Notamacropus eugenii: one gene and its partner. The protein of the gene in region 2 purifies or fractionates together with the protein of the main gene of each other region. This does not show direct contact. Links are inferred from orthologs where the notes say so. Each region holds a gene or a part of one and is shown on either strand. Other genes may lie near its edges.

Region 1 (7,503 bases), on a different chromosome or scaffold from region 2:
TTTTATGCCAGTTATTTCCAGATGTGGACCTACCCTAACAAGCCTTCCATAGTGACAAATTAAGAGCAATTTGACAATACCAAGAGACTTCTGTGTGACAGAGTATACGACATTCCACGCCCACAGTCCCCCACCTCCCCAACCATAGGAAGGATGGACGCTTCTTGTTTCTTCTCACAGGAGAAGACTTGTCACCCTGATAACACAGAGTGCTGTTTCATGGAATTGATCTTCCATTTTCATGCTTCCTTCACTGTGTCAAGCTCTGCTCATCCTTTTTCTTTTCATTCATATCTTTCCACAACCAATAATGCATTCTTACTAAGGGTCTGGGAGCTGAGGACCAGCCACGGGAGCACATGGGTGCTCACAACTAACACATGAGCAAGGAGGGCCCTTTCAAATGGTATCACTCTATTTCTGCCCATGAAATGAGCACAGAGGAACAAGGCCAGGGGAAAATCAGCTCCTAGAAGCAATGGGGATGGCTTCACTCTCTTGAGGTCACCTTATGCACAGGGAAGGGCCATGGATGCAAATTTCTGCTGCTAACTCCCTGAGTCACCTTGAAGACATCACTTGACTGTCTTTGTGCCTCAACTTCCTTATCTGTATCATGAGAGGACACAGCCAGAGGATTTCTAAGGTTCCCTCCACCTCTCTAACCAGTGACGGGAAGTGCCCAAGTCGAGTATAAATGACCCCTGACTTGGGAAACTAGAACCGGACTTCTGATTCAGGTCTGGGTTGGACCAGGAGAGCTCTGAGGGCCCCTAAGTCTCAGAGTCAAAGTCACATGACTTTTCCTGGCCAACATGATAGGCTCAATAAAATGATCTCTGAAACTGTCCTGAGGATCACTGCTTAGAGAGGTGGAGAGACTCTTCAAACGTAGTGAATATGACCTGAACTCCATGCCTAACCAGACCAGGGTACAAACGTCTCTGGTTTTTCTGCTGTCCTGCTACCTTCGTGACTCAGCCTGAAGTCCAACATTAAAATCCCCAGGGTTCCACTGGAGGTCTAGCCACTGGGTCCCTACTTTCATTTCTTGAGTCCAAATGTAAAACTTCCTTTTTCCTTGTTAAAGGGCATCATTTTAGATCCTGTCTAGCCTGTTGGACTCCAATCTACTCACCAGACTGCCCAGCTTGGTGCTGTCCAATGTGACTAGTATTCCAACTATGCTACATCCAAGATGTTGACAAAAATGCTGAGCAGAGCAGGGCCAAATGCTGACCTTTAGGGAGGGCCACTAAGACCTCCTTTCATGATACCAACAAACCATCCACTCTAATCCTTGAACTAGTTCTGAATGTCCCTGACAGAGCTGTCATGCAGCCCACCAGAAGTCTCTCTGTTAGTCTTGCTAACAAGGATATATTGAGTGACACCATGAAATGACCTGCTGTAACCCTTTGACCATTACCAGGCTTGAAAAGAAATGAGGTCGAATGCAAAGGAAATCAGACAGTGGATTTCAAAGAAATTGTTTCCGCTCAGCTGATGCTTTTACTTGCCTTTCTTCCTCTTCATGGAGCAGGTTGGCAGATGAGGGCATAGCCTGAAAACCCTACCCAGGTTCTCTGAATTTAGCACTGGGCAAGCACTGGCTGAAGATAGCTGACCAACTGGAGCCCCCTCCCCCACCCCATTTCCCAGCCAGAACTCTGCCTAATGGCTTCTGAAATACATTCACAAGGCTGGTCTCTTGGGCTTACTCTGAGGGTCGAAGCTCGTCTAAGGTTCTGCTTCTGCTGTGGAAATGGCCCAAGACAGGGATGGGAAGAAGAAAGACAGAGGGAACCTTGACGCACTCATACCTAGACTGCCAAGGAAAGGGGCCTTCTTCTCATGACAAGACGTCAGCGACTTGGGACCGAGGGGGAAAGACTGGTGGCTAAAGACAAGCTCAGTGAGAGAATCTCTATCCTTTTCTGGAAGAAACGAACCAAGATGGGGAGAGGGAGCCCAAGGAGGCGAGTTCTTTGTCCCACGAGGATTCCAAGCAGGAATTCTGAGGGGACCCTTCTGTTTGCGCTTGCGATGAGTCTCCCCAAAAGCACAGCGGATTCATTCTCACACCTTTGCGGTGCTCTCCCCCAACTCTGAGTCATGAGACCCTGGCTGTGGGGGAAGGGCCCAGCCCCGAGATCATCCGTAGACTTCTAGTTCACACCTTCAGGGTACCCTCCTGCAAGTGCGGGAGGATGATGGAGCTAAGAGCACGGAGACGTGGGGGGTGGGAGCAAGGCCAAGAGGTAACTGGAGGTCAGGGGCAGAGAGGACAACCCCTCCCCCGACCTTGCCCAAGACTAGGTTGCTTTTTTTGTTTTTGTTTTTTTAACCTCGAAGAGGAAAAATGCTCCCACATCCCCGGGGAGAGGGAGTGTACAAAGCAGCTGGCCGGCCCTGCCCTAGCGAGGGCGTGGCAAGGGCGTGGGCTTGCGCTGCAGCATCCCATGGCCTCCAGGGCAGCTCAGCTCTCTGGGCTCTGGCTTGGTTGGAGACGTCCCCCTCCCTCAGGGCCGGGGAATAAGGGATTGTTTGGGGAGGGCGCGCGCGGACTTCCCTGGCCTGCTCACTCTTCCCGGGAGCTGGGGGGAAGGGAGGCGGTAAAGGGGGTTGCTCCCCATCCCCCATCTCCCATCATCTCCCATCTCCCATTCCCCGGTTCTGCCTTCGCGCTGGTCCCCCACTCCGGCTGCCCTTGGGCCCAAGGGAAGCGCGTCACGGTCTCGGTCAGGGGCGCGGGGGCTGGTTACCTGGCACTGCAGCAGCTGGGGCTAAGGACCCGGGCCTCTGGGATGAGCTCAGGCAGTGGCGGCTGCGGCGGTGATGGCAGAAGGGAGGAAGGAGGATGGAGGAGGCAGGAGGGAGGAGCCCGAGCCCGTCGGCAGCTGCCACAGTCCAGCTTGGTCGGTCCTCGGCCTCTGCGCAGCGCTCCGAAGCAGTGGATTGACGGACAGACTGCCTGGCTGGCTGGCGGTGCTGCGGTGCTGTGTCACGGCTGGGGACCCTCCCACCCCCATCACCTCCGGCTCCTCCCCGCCCCTGAGCTCCTCCCCAAACCGCCCCAGCGTCCCCTCCCCCATCCCGGCACTAACCCGAACCCAGACCCTGACCCAGGCTGGTAGACTTGGGGCTGCGCAGGACCCGAGGGGCTATCCGGTGAATTTAACAGAGGAGGAAACTGAGGCCCATGCAGGTGAAAGGAGTTGGTCAGGGTTATACATAGCAAAGGTGGCACGGGAACCCACAACCCCCTACTCTAAGTCTCTGCAAGACCCCTCCTGGTTAGCCTCTTGGGGCAGCCTCCCCCCAGTCCTCTGGAGGCCATCTTGTCCTTCAGCTGGAGGAATCAAATGGAGGGCCGACACACCTGCGGGAAAGGAAGACATGAGCACCCTGCCCCTCCTCCTCTAAGCCTCTGCCTCTCTCTGCCTCTGTCTTTCTGTGTCTGTCTCTCCCATGCACCCAGACAGCACACACATCACGTGCACATTTACTAGGCATATTTCCCATCCCCACACTCACAGCTGTGTGTGTGTGTTGTGTGTGTTGCATGTGTGTGTTGTGTGTGTGTGTGTGTGTGTGTGTGTGTACTCGATCAATGCTTGTTTCCTAACTGGCTAATTAAAAATGTTAAAAAATTCACAAACTCCAGAGAGTCACTGGGGAGGAGGGGAAGAAGAGGGAGAAGGAGCAGAGGTATCAGCCTTCTTTCCTCCATTGTAGGGAAAACCCAAAATACAAAAACAAAATGACAGAGGGTGGGGTACAAAACCAAGAGCAGAGAACCATGAAGAAGTCAGTGGGAAATCTCCCAGGCAATGGAAGCTCAGAAGAAGGCCTGCTTTGACAAATATGCTAAAATAAAGTTTACCAGATCTACTGCTCACTCCTTCTCCTTGTGTGACCTTGGACAAGTGCTCTCACCTCCCTGGATCTCTGTGTTCTCAAATATAAAAGGCAGATATTGCTTTCCATGACCTACAAGTTTCCTTCCTGCTTTAAACTATGGTCCTATGAAAAGGCCTGGAAGTTGGAGTATCAGAACTAAGTCCATCAGCTTAATTTTTGAGTTTGGGCATATTCATTTTTTGTGGCCAGATCTAGAGGGCTTGGGGTTTGAGGGAAGGGATGGTGAATCACATCTACACCCTTTATGGTTTGGTAGAACATAGTCCCAAAGTGATTTGAGCAGAATGCAGGCTAACAATTAGGAACTCTTCAGAGTTAAAAAAATAATGAGGATTTTCTAACCCAAAGTCAGAGAGAGGGTTGGAACAGAGGTGTTGGCCCTGGCAGCTAAAAGAAGTTAAAAGAATACACAATCCTAAACATCAGCCACTCTGCCTGGCTTTTGTTCCAAGACTTTTGGCTAGGTGTGGTGGCTTGAGCCATGATTAAAGATTGACCACTCAGCCCTTATCAGGGAGACTTCCTAATCCCTGGAATTGCCCTATCAAATAGAGGTCAAAATGGCCTTGATAGGAGGAAGCCAAGAAGCTGAGGAGAGAAAAATGTGGCCCCCAAAAGACAGCAGGGAGCAACACTAGAAGGGAGTAGGCTCAGGCAAGAGGAGCAAGGTCTCTTTGCTAGATAATATCAGCATCCCTGCATTACTAGAGGCATCACCACACATGTGCTCTGGCTACACATGTTCCATATATTCATGACTCCATTGGTTATATCTATGCAGATTCACTCTGCCCACTGGCAGTGTGTACAACTGTAGAAGAATGCACCTCAGGTTGGAAGGGATGTCTTGCTACTACTGGTCTTAATGTGCCATTTCATTAATGTTCTTAATATGCTATAATATGATAATTGTGGCCTCTGGCTGAATTATAAAAGGAAGCTGGATCCTAATCAGTGTAAATTTGAATTCACATGATTTAAGGTTATAATTATGTAAAAAATGATAATTGGTTCCAACCCAAAGAAAATATGGAGTGCCAATCTGAATACCACAATTTCAAGGAATTTGTTATAATTCGCACTGAGACTTAGTATGTAAACACATCGAGGATCTCGTTAGCTTCGGCTTCGTATGACTGTGGACTTATAGTGTACCTTGAGCCTGGAATGAATGTTCTGGGGGACCCACATGCCAGACAGAATGTCCTCGCTTTAAGCAGGTGAATCTGACCAAGTGACTTACCTCTCCAGAAGAAACACTGAGGGGAGGAGTGAAATGGAGTCAATGACTAAGACTAAAAGGATTGGTGTGTAGCAATGTGGGTGGGGTGGGGGATGGAGATTATATAACGTGAGTTTGTAGTGAGCTACAAGATCCACCACTCAGCAGTACAGAGAGATGTAGGAGCAAAGATGGTGAATAGAGGTGGTGGCCCTGGGCCTGACCAGAGGGAAGCAAAAGGAGAAGGTATTTAAGAGTAAAGGAGATTGGAAAATCAAGACTCTAAAGTGAGGCCAGAGCTGGGACAGAACAGAGCAGGGAGGGTCATGGGGGGCATTTCAGTGAGGTCAGGGTGAAGAGTGGGAGCGATAGAAGATGGTTATTATCAGAGGAAGAAGGGTCACTGTTCAAGAACATGAAGATGATACATTGATAGGTCATGCCACCTAGGGGGATGGCTGGGGTTGGTGTGGAGGAACATATGGGTCATGGATGTTGAGATGGTTGTGGACAAAGTTTCTGACAAGGAGGGAGGTGGTTGAGAGAGAGGGAATGCTCAGAGGGCAGTGAGGGCCTAGAGATTCTGTCCTTGAAAGATTGGTTGAAGAAACTGGACATGTTTAGAATGGAGAAGGAAAGACTTGGAAGGCAGGAAGGACAGGAAGGTGTTTGGGGGGTTGTCCCTTGGAAGAAGGTTAGATTTCTTCAGTTCAGATGAGAAGACAGACCTGTGGACAGTACTCCAATTTGCAAATGGGCAGACTGAGGATTGATATATGCTGCTTAACCATGAGCACTGTCCAGAAGTGGAATGGGCCACCACAGAAGGAAGGAGGGAGCTCACTCTCCTTGAGGTCACGATGAGCAGATGGACCAATGAATGAATGGACCAACAAACCATTTATTAAGCCTGCTGTTTGCCAGGCTCTACCGAACATAGATGATGTCAGTGCAGAAGTGAGACAGATCCTCCCCTTGATGAACCAACATTCTCATTGATAAATTCCAACCATATAGGAGAGTGTTGACCGGGAAAGGGAGCTTGGTTCTAGATGATCTCAGGTTCTAGATGATGATGGCAAATGGATCCACTCAGCTCTGACTTGTTCTTTCCAGAAGCAAGGTTCCTATTTGTGAGATAGATTGTTGTGTTTAGGACAGGAAGTGGGACTGGGAAAAAGCTTCGTTCACTCTGCTGAGCAGAGTTGGTGGATTCTCTGATGGGGATTCTCTGATGAATCCTGCTGGACCTGAAACCAGTTAGGGACTTGTCATCCGTTCCAAGCCTTGTTTTTGTAGTTAAATTTTATTTTTCTGTTTTCAAATATTTATTCCAGCCCTTCCATTGGAAAAGAACAAAACCCTTGTAGCCAATAAGCATAATCCCATCTTGATATCCAAAAGTCTGACCCATTCTGCCCTTTCATCCTTCCCTCTCAGTAACTCTGCGCTTCCTTATAAACTCTGAACTCTTGGCTGGTCATTAGGGAAGGACGAGGGCAGGGAAGGGAAGCGTAGATGAAGCGCCTACAAATTTTATCTTCCATGATCATTACACTGATCAGAGCACCTGAGGTTATTGTGCACATCTTAGTCTACATCAGCTCATAAAAGGCTTCCCAGGTTTCTACTGTGCAACGTATGAATGAAGCACATTCATTACCATAACTCAGCCATACCGCAATTGATGGGCACTTCCTCAGTTTACTGCTCTTTGCCACCTCAAAAAGAGCTGCTATCCATATTTTTGTCTGTGTGAGTGGCTTGTCCTCTTTTTTTGATGGCAGAGGTCTAGTACTGTTTATTGGGTGAAACGACACAGTTTCATGATTTCGTGGCACAGTTCCAAATTGCTTTCCAGAAAGATAATGTCAATTCACAGTTCCACCAATAGTGCATCGACATGTCTGTTTATAGCCCCTCTGACACTTGTCATTTTGCTTTTGTTTCAATTAGCTTTGCCAGTCAAATGAAGAGAAAGTGCAGCCTCAAAGTTGCTTTAATTAGCAGTCTCTAATTCTTAGTTTTTTGAGGAATTTTTTCATTTGACTCTTGATAACTTGAATTTCTTCATCTGAGAACTGCATGTTTATGTCCTTTGGTCATTTTCAACTGGTGAATGGCTCTAATATTTATATATCTTGGAAAGGAGACCTTTATCAGAGAAACTCATTTTAAAGACTTGTCTATTAATGGTTTACCTTCTAATCTTAGCTGCATTGGCTTTGTTTGTGCAAAAACTTTCAAATTTTGTATAATCAGAATTTTCCATTTTAGCTTCTTGTATTGTCTCTAGCCATTATTTGGTTATGAGCTGCTCCCCACCTATCAATCTGAAACATGATTTATTCCTTGCT
Region 2 (7,637 bases):
AAAGTTTGCTTACAACCTCCAAGAAGTTAGCAATGCAAAAGTGGAGAAAGTCATGCTTCAATCCATAAAAAGGGATTCTTAAGCACCCTACGGGAACAACAGACTCATGCCAAGCAAAATGAAACATAACAGAGATCTCCAAGAAAACATAAGATCAAAACACTCTGGCAAACAACTTATTGAAAGTAACCCTATTTTGCCAAAGAAATCAAAGCTTCGTTGATGGGTTTTTTTTAAAGAGATAAAAAGAAAAAAAGCATGAAGACAAGGAAAAAGCAAGGAATATAACTTAATTAATAAAAGATACACAGAATAGAGACCATTTTTTAAGTCACCAAGGTACAGTGGATAGAATGCTGGACAGGCAGAATCAGGAAGATCTGAGTTCAAATCCCATTTCAAACATTTATTAGGTGCATGACCTAGTAGGATAATTCACATAACTTCCCTGGGCTCTTTTCTTCATCTGTGAAATGAGAAAGCTTGGCCTATTCTATGGTACCACAGTTTAAGGAGTTGTCTTTTGTAAATTTTGGAGTAATTTATTTGTTGGGTTGCATCATTCTGATTTTTGAAGTATGGAGAGACTGTAGCATTTACCTGTTTGTATTTATTTGGTGGGGGAGGAGATAGAAAGTGATTATATAGGAATGTGGGAGGAAGGACCAAAAGTCATTGCATCCAGTCACTTCCTGATTGGCTGAGAGAGATCCAACTTATATAATAGGCAAAAGAGTTTGACCCAGCACACCCAAGTGAGGAATCTCAAAATCAGACTGGTAGCATTCTAGTAGCCAAGACAATATTCTTTGATGCAGTCATGACAGAGTCAGCCATGGCAGCATGAGTTTACCAAGCTAGAAGAGGGTCAGCACCCACCTGGCCAGGAGAAGTTTATTTAAGTCATAGGTTAAAAAGTTTAGGTGGTACTAAGTCTGAAATTAGCTTATTTCTAATTACCTTGTCCTGAATTATTTATGAATTTCTATGTTCTCTTTTCCCTGGTAAACGAATTCTTTAAAAAAAAAAAAGCTTTCATGATCTGAAGCATGTGGAAACAGGATAAAAAGAGAAAAAGAAGCTGATGTAAAACAGGACACCTGCTTCTTTGTAGCAACACCTTAATAATGACAAATTAGGAGCAGTTGCAGCAGAGCTACAGACCCAAATGGCCAACCTTTGGTTCAGTGACCCAGGAAAGTACATAAAAAAGGCACAATGCCTTTAGTGGGGGGGTTCAGAATGTGGTGAAAAGTGAAGGCTCCAAAGTTCAATAAAAAGTCTGGATTAGTTAAGCCTAAAACTCAAGGCTGGATCCCTGAACACCATGATCAGAGACAGAATACTGGACTGGATGTCCTATCCCAAATCTGACCCAGCAGGACAAGTCTTATGTCAAGCACTATTATACTGTACATGGCATACATAGCTACTAAGAACTCAATTCAGTAGACATCTCTTGCAACAGCCTGCTTATCAAATCACTCCATCTTAGTCTAAATTTACTTTTGTATCTAAGTACAGTATTTAGAAAAGCTTTATGCTACTGCAGCTTATTTACAGTTGTCACTAACTATCCTCTAGCAGCCAACAAGCCCATCAAATACTCTTTTAAACCTTCTTGTTAAAACAAAAATATTCTAAGGTTTTATTTATTTTTCAAAGTTCTCTAATTTGACTTCAATTTTTCCCCAGAGTTAAAGTCAGAAATTAGAATGGAAGAAAGCTAATTAGATTCACTCTAACTGAAGTAGCTGAGATTGACTGATTGATGAACTTCAATCAGCTGAGAAAGGTATCGGGAGGACACAGTTTTTGGTCCCAGCTCCACTTTCAGGTTCAAATTCAATTCAATAAACGTTTATTAAGTGTCAGGCAGGGTGCTAACCCCCGAGGACGCAAAAAGAGGGAAAAGAGAGTCCCTGCCCTCAAGGCGCTTACAGTCTAAAGGGCAGACAAAATGCAAACCAAGATATACAAAGCAAGCTATCTACAGGATAAATACCAAAGGACACAGGGAAGGCTTCCCGTCTGTGGTCTGATTTTAGCTGGGACTTAAAGGCATAAATAGAATACGTCCAAGTGCTTGGAAGAATCGCCGAACTGTAAGACAGTATCACCATTCAATTATATACTTGGGAAAAAGAGTAAGGCACCTGCAGCTCAGTACAGTGGGCAGAGCGCCGGCTCTGGATTCAAAGGGCTGGGGCCAAATCCTACCTGGGATACTACCTGTGTGTTCTAGGGCAAATCATTAAACCTTGGTTTTCTCATCTGTAAGATGAGGGGGGTTGGACTAGACAGCTCGAGGTCCCTTCCAGCTCTAGGAAAAAAAACCAAGGCTGCGATGCCAACGGTTCCTCCGCGACACTCGAGAAGCGACCTGAAAACACCTGGGGACACTGAATGGAGCCCAAGGCCTGCCCCCAGGGAAGGGAGGGCACGTCGCGACCTCCGCACCCCCACCCTGTCGGTACGGCTGGGCCAGCCCCGGTGCCCGCCGTGCCACGTCCGGGATGGTCCCCGGTGCCCGCCGTGCCACGTCCCGGATGGTCCCCGGTGCCCGCCGTGCCACGTCCCGGATGGTCCCCGGCGCGCGGCCCTCTCGCAGCGCCTCCGCCGTCTCCCCTGCCCCGGGCCCTCCATCTCCCGAGAGGGGTGCGGAGGTCCTGGTGGGCGCGGCCACTCCCGCACGGGAGCGCGGGGCCGACGGACTGACAGCGCCGGGCTGGCCCGGGCGCGGCCCCTGCAGGTAGGCTGGCTGGGCCGGCAGCCCCCGGGGAGCCGGGCCCGGCCCCGCCCCGCCCCAAGTCCCGAGGCCGCGGGCCGGCGGAGAGGCCCGAACCAGCCGCCCAGCCCGGGCCCTTCCGGTCCTTTCGGCGCGTCAGTCTCACCTGGACGGTGTCAAACGGACATTTTCGCGGACCAGACTGGACCGGACCGGACTCCGTCCTCGGCGCCTCGATTCCGCCTCCTTTCTAGCCTTCTCCAGCGAGCTCGCTCTCGCTCTCGCCTCCTCCCCCGTGCCGCGTCACGCGCACCGACCTCCGCGCGCGATACTTCTGGCGGGCGGGGCCGTCACAAGCCGCTCTGTGACGCAGCGCGGAGAGGGGTGTGGGTTCGGAGCGTCCGGGCTCCCGGGCCCGAAGGGAAGGGAGAAGGATGGCGTCACGGGGAGGGGAGGGGAGGGGAGGGGAAGAAGAAGGTGAGGGCGGCTATTCGGGACAGCTCGGGCCAGCCACGCAGGAGTGGGAGAGCGTGGCGGAGTTCCTGCGCAAGCGCAGAGGCTGCCGCACGGAGCTGAGCGCAGGGCCCCGCCCGCTTCCTCCACCACGGTCCGCGGCCGGTCGTCCCGGGGCTCCTCCTGGGGAAGAGTTGGCCTCCCCTGCGTGGGCACGGAGGCCGAGCTCGATCGGGTCGGAGTCCCACCCTCCCTCCTGGTCACCTGCTGTGTAGCCGGGCCTCAGTCTCCTCTAATGTAAAATAATGTAAAAAGATTTTTTTTAACCTTAAACCGTCTTTACGCTCTTAAAAGTGACTGAGGATATCCCCCCAAAAAGAGCTTTTGTCTATGTGAGTTATTTATTAATATTTGCTGTATTCGAAATTAAAACGTCTTTGTATTATCATGAAAATACCTTCCTCCTAGCGGACAGCCTGAAAAGATCTCTGGAACCCTCTGGACCACACTAGGAGAACCACTCGGGCCCGATGGACCCTATGGTCCCTTCCAGCTAGCTCAAAGGCGGGGAGCACGCGCTTGAGGCCCTAGAGGGCCACGTGTGGCCTCGAGGCGGCGGGTTCCCTAGCCCGGCCTTTATCACAGAAGCCTGACAGTGCATCCCTCGCCTCATGCTGGTTCTTTTACAATTCTTGTCAGTTTCAAAGCTGCCCTTGAAGCTAATTTTAGAAAATCTGGAGAGGAAGGATACAAATGTATCCGTGCAACGGAAGAATGGGAGAAATGGATACAAGGGACCTTTCAAAGGAAGACAGCGGCGGCGTGTGGTTACCGTTTGGATAGGAGGCATTTAACGAAAAGAGAAGAAAGTGGGAGAGAAGAAGGGATTTGGGATCAAAGGTGACTGGGGCCTCCATCAAACACAAAGTAAAATACTTTTAGACTGGCAGGTAAATTAAGGACATCAGAAACAATTAGGAACAGTTTTCTTTATAAGGGCCGGTATCTATGATATTCATGAAGTTTTTCAGGGGACTGCCTTCCTTGTAGACTTGACTGTGATTTGTAACATCCATCATCAGTCTCCTCAAAAATATCTAGCTTCTCCTGCCTTCCTAAGATAGGTCGTAACTTACCCAGAATAGTTGGAAATCTTGTCATTTCACTATGCAAAATATTAATTTTGAATATAGTAGGTGCTTAATAAATGGAATCAGTGAATTTGCTGTCACTTTTCAGTAGGACAGGAAAATAAAAAGAATTAAAGCAGAATTTGTTAAATGCCTACTTTGTTTCTGGCTCTAAGTTAGACAACATCGGGCTAAGTCCTTGACCCGAAAGAACTTATACACCTGGTAGGAAAGATAATAGTTAATATGAAATAGCAATAAGGAAATAATGCAAGGCAAAAAAAAGAAGAGAAGACATCAATATAGGCCATGGTGGTTAGGAAAAAAAAAATCATAGAGGAAGTGAAATGTGCGTTTTACCACCAGATAACTAGCAAGCTGAGCTGTCAGTTATCCACTGACCATCTGAATTAAATGCTCAAGTCTATGCTTCCCCAACCCTTCTTGTAAGGAGCTTTCCTAGCAACCACCTCTACCCCTCTCGGGGTCTGTCTTTCTCTTTTAAAAACAGTAAGTTTTTAGGGCAAAAGGGAAAAAATTACATCCCTTCACTGGTCTTCTTTGGGTCTCAATTTGGGTCTCAATTTCCTCATCTAAAAGAGACTCAGGTAAAGATTCCTCAGCTAAAAGATTCTAATCCAACCTCCACATTTTACAGATGAGGAAACTTGGGTTTTGCTCTAATTTTAACCTTCTTTCCTCCGGACCACACCAAGGATAGTATAAGTAGTGGCAGGGGAAGCAGTAGATAAGAATGAGTTTGATATGGACAATGGGACCAGGTTGACTGGATAGAATTCAAAATGAGGTATAATAAGAGGTAAAATTTAAAAAGGGTACAGCAAGATTATGAGGACTTTTGAATGACAGGAAGAGGAAGGAGTCCAATGATGACTCCAAGGTTTTAAATATGGGTGACACAACAGTGACTTGTTGACAAGAAATCAGGAAGCTGAGTGGAATAACTTGTCTGGGTGGAAGATGACAAGTTTAATTTAGGTCATAGAATTTACAGCTGTAATGAACCTTAAGGTCTGAGAGTCCAGCCCCGTAATTCTATGGAAGAAAAAACTGAGACTTTGAGAGACATGACTTTACCAAGGCCACACAGCTAATAAGTGGCAAAGCCAGTTAATAGAGAATATTGAATAGTAGAGAGAGCAGAACATCTATTAGACAACTATTGTTTACAGGATTGTAAGTGAAAGATAAATACTAGAAAAAGAAATTCAGAAGCCATCCACTTGGAAGTGGCATGCGGAAGTTACACATGAACTACTGAAGATGAGCACCCATCATTCACAAGGTCATGAAAATTTGGCCACCTCCAGATTGTGATGGGTGAAATCTGAAGTCACAGAGGAAACAAAAGTTCAAGGTTTCAAGCATCAATTTATTAAGCAATATATGCCTATGGCATAACAAATTGGAACCAGGCCTCCTCAGCTTGGCACTAGACCCTTAATACAGGAGGAGACATCCTTATGTATTGAAAACAATTAACAAGATACAAACCCAGATACAAATTAGATAATCTGATTTCTAATGGAGAGAGGTTAAGGACTTTCTGAGTTGGGAGAGGTAGAGTGAACAGGTGCAATTCCCTGAAGTCAGAAGGAAAAAAGAAGTGTTTCACTTTCCCCCTGCTCCTCAAATGTCTATATTCAATCAAAGGAACAAGAAAACCAGTATAGGCCAATTTTCAGTTAAGACATATGGGTTCCTTGAGATGTAGAATTGTAAGAAAACTCCTTGATCTTGGTTCTGACTGGGTTTCTGGTCAGCATAATCTAGGTCCTTAGTTAAAGTTCTCTAAGCAACAAGTAGAGGTAGTCTAACTTCCTAACTATGCAAGGCTAGTTTTAAGCAAATGTAATAATGTTTTCTCACCATTCCTATAATTGAATAACATTTTCTCGCAGGACAGAAATTGGACTAGATCCATAATTGAATAGAAAGGGAACTGAACTAGATCCAGAATTGAGTCACAAGATGGAATCAGTTTGGTTCACTCAATTCCCACGATTCTTCTCCTTTGATTCCTGGGAGAGGAGACTGGCACCCTCTCCTATAAATCACTTATCTATAAGTCAAATCTATAAGGTTTTCCATATATTCATAATCGGAATTATATAAGTCAGGTTATAGATCAGACTATCTAGAGGGTTCACAATGAACTCATTTTGAGAAGGGAGATTTATATCACCAACATAACTTCAGCAGACCTAAACACCATGAAACAAAAGGCCAAAATAATACAGTGATAATCATCAATATTAGATAACATTGTCTTCTTCTATTCTAGTAATCCACTGTTAATGTCCACTTAAGCATCACATATTGTCTTAAGTCTCAGTTTTCCCATGTGGTCATCTGGTCCCTGGAAATATCTTCTGGACATTCTGAAATAGGCCTCATTTTCAGAATAGCTCTGAAGAGGACTTCGCTTCTCTTTTTCTAAATCATTTGTAGAGATTCCTAGATAATTAAAGGCAGCAAGGTGGCTCAGAGCACTAGGCCTTGAGTCAAGAAGAACTGAGTTCAAATATGGCCTCAGACACTTACTAGATCCTTGGCAAGTTACTTAGCTTCTGTTTGCCTTAGTCCATTGGAGGAGGGAATGACAAACCACTCCAATATCTTTGCCAAGAAAACCCCATGGAGATATGGTTCACAGGATGACAAAGAGTCAGATGCAACTGAATGACCGAACAATAGACAAGACTGTAGCATACAAAATACATGACTACAGTAATGTGATTTAATATAATCTTTTAAATTTGGTTTTCCAATAACTAGCTCATGTGGTGAAAACCAACTCAAGCCTTATGGTTCTGATCCTATTAACCACAGAGATATAAGAAGGACATCAAATTAGAAACCCATAATTGACCTGAGGCTTTAGAAAATTTTAGTTTTTTATATGACTAGTTACTATTTTTATCTTTACCTACACCCTATACCTGACATAAGAATCTATTAAAAAAAAATCATGAGTTGAAAAATGTCATCCACATCCAGAGAAAGAAGCATGGAGTCAGAATGCAGAATGAAGCAGACTATTTTCTCTTTTTGTTATATTTTATTTTGTTTTGTTTTTCTTATGGTTTCTCCCATTCATTTTAATTCTTCTATGCAACATGAAAAAAATTGAAGGTGATGTATAAAAAATATCATGAGTGTCTAACTTGTAAAATGAACACTTCTGTCTTTTATTATTATCAGACAAATTTAAAATAGGAAAGTAATATCACCTTCTTTACAATTAGCAGTGCAATTGTATATGTAAAATCCTTAATCCAATTTTTACAACTTATTACTAAAAC

What was found. The genes of interacting proteins can lie anywhere in the genome.
Region 1: the proteins of NDEL1 (region 2) and DYNC1I1 purify together in Homo sapiens (affinity purification with western blotting; 3 studies listed by BioGRID and IntAct, with this or other methods). This does not show direct contact. The link is inferred for Notamacropus eugenii from reciprocal best matches to the Homo sapiens genes NDEL1 and DYNC1I1.

Annotation. Positions count from the first base shown.
Region 1 is NC_092874.1:942,361-949,863, reverse strand, and holds the start of DYNC1I1 (cytoplasmic dynein 1 intermediate chain 1), read right to left. Parts: upstream 3,011-7,503; 5' UTR 2,766-3,010; intron 1-2,765. UniProt on the Homo sapiens protein: Acts as one of several non-catalytic accessory components of the cytoplasmic dynein 1 complex that are thought to be involved in linking dynein to cargos and to adapter proteins that regulate dynein function.
Region 2 is NC_092873.1:77,336,602-77,344,238, forward strand, and holds the start of NDEL1 (nuclear distribution protein nudE-like 1), read right to left. Parts: upstream 3,009-7,637; 5' UTR 2,895-3,008; intron 1-2,894. UniProt on the Homo sapiens protein: Required for organization of the cellular microtubule array and microtubule anchoring at the centrosome. May regulate microtubule organization at least in part by targeting the microtubule severing protein KATNA1 to the centrosome.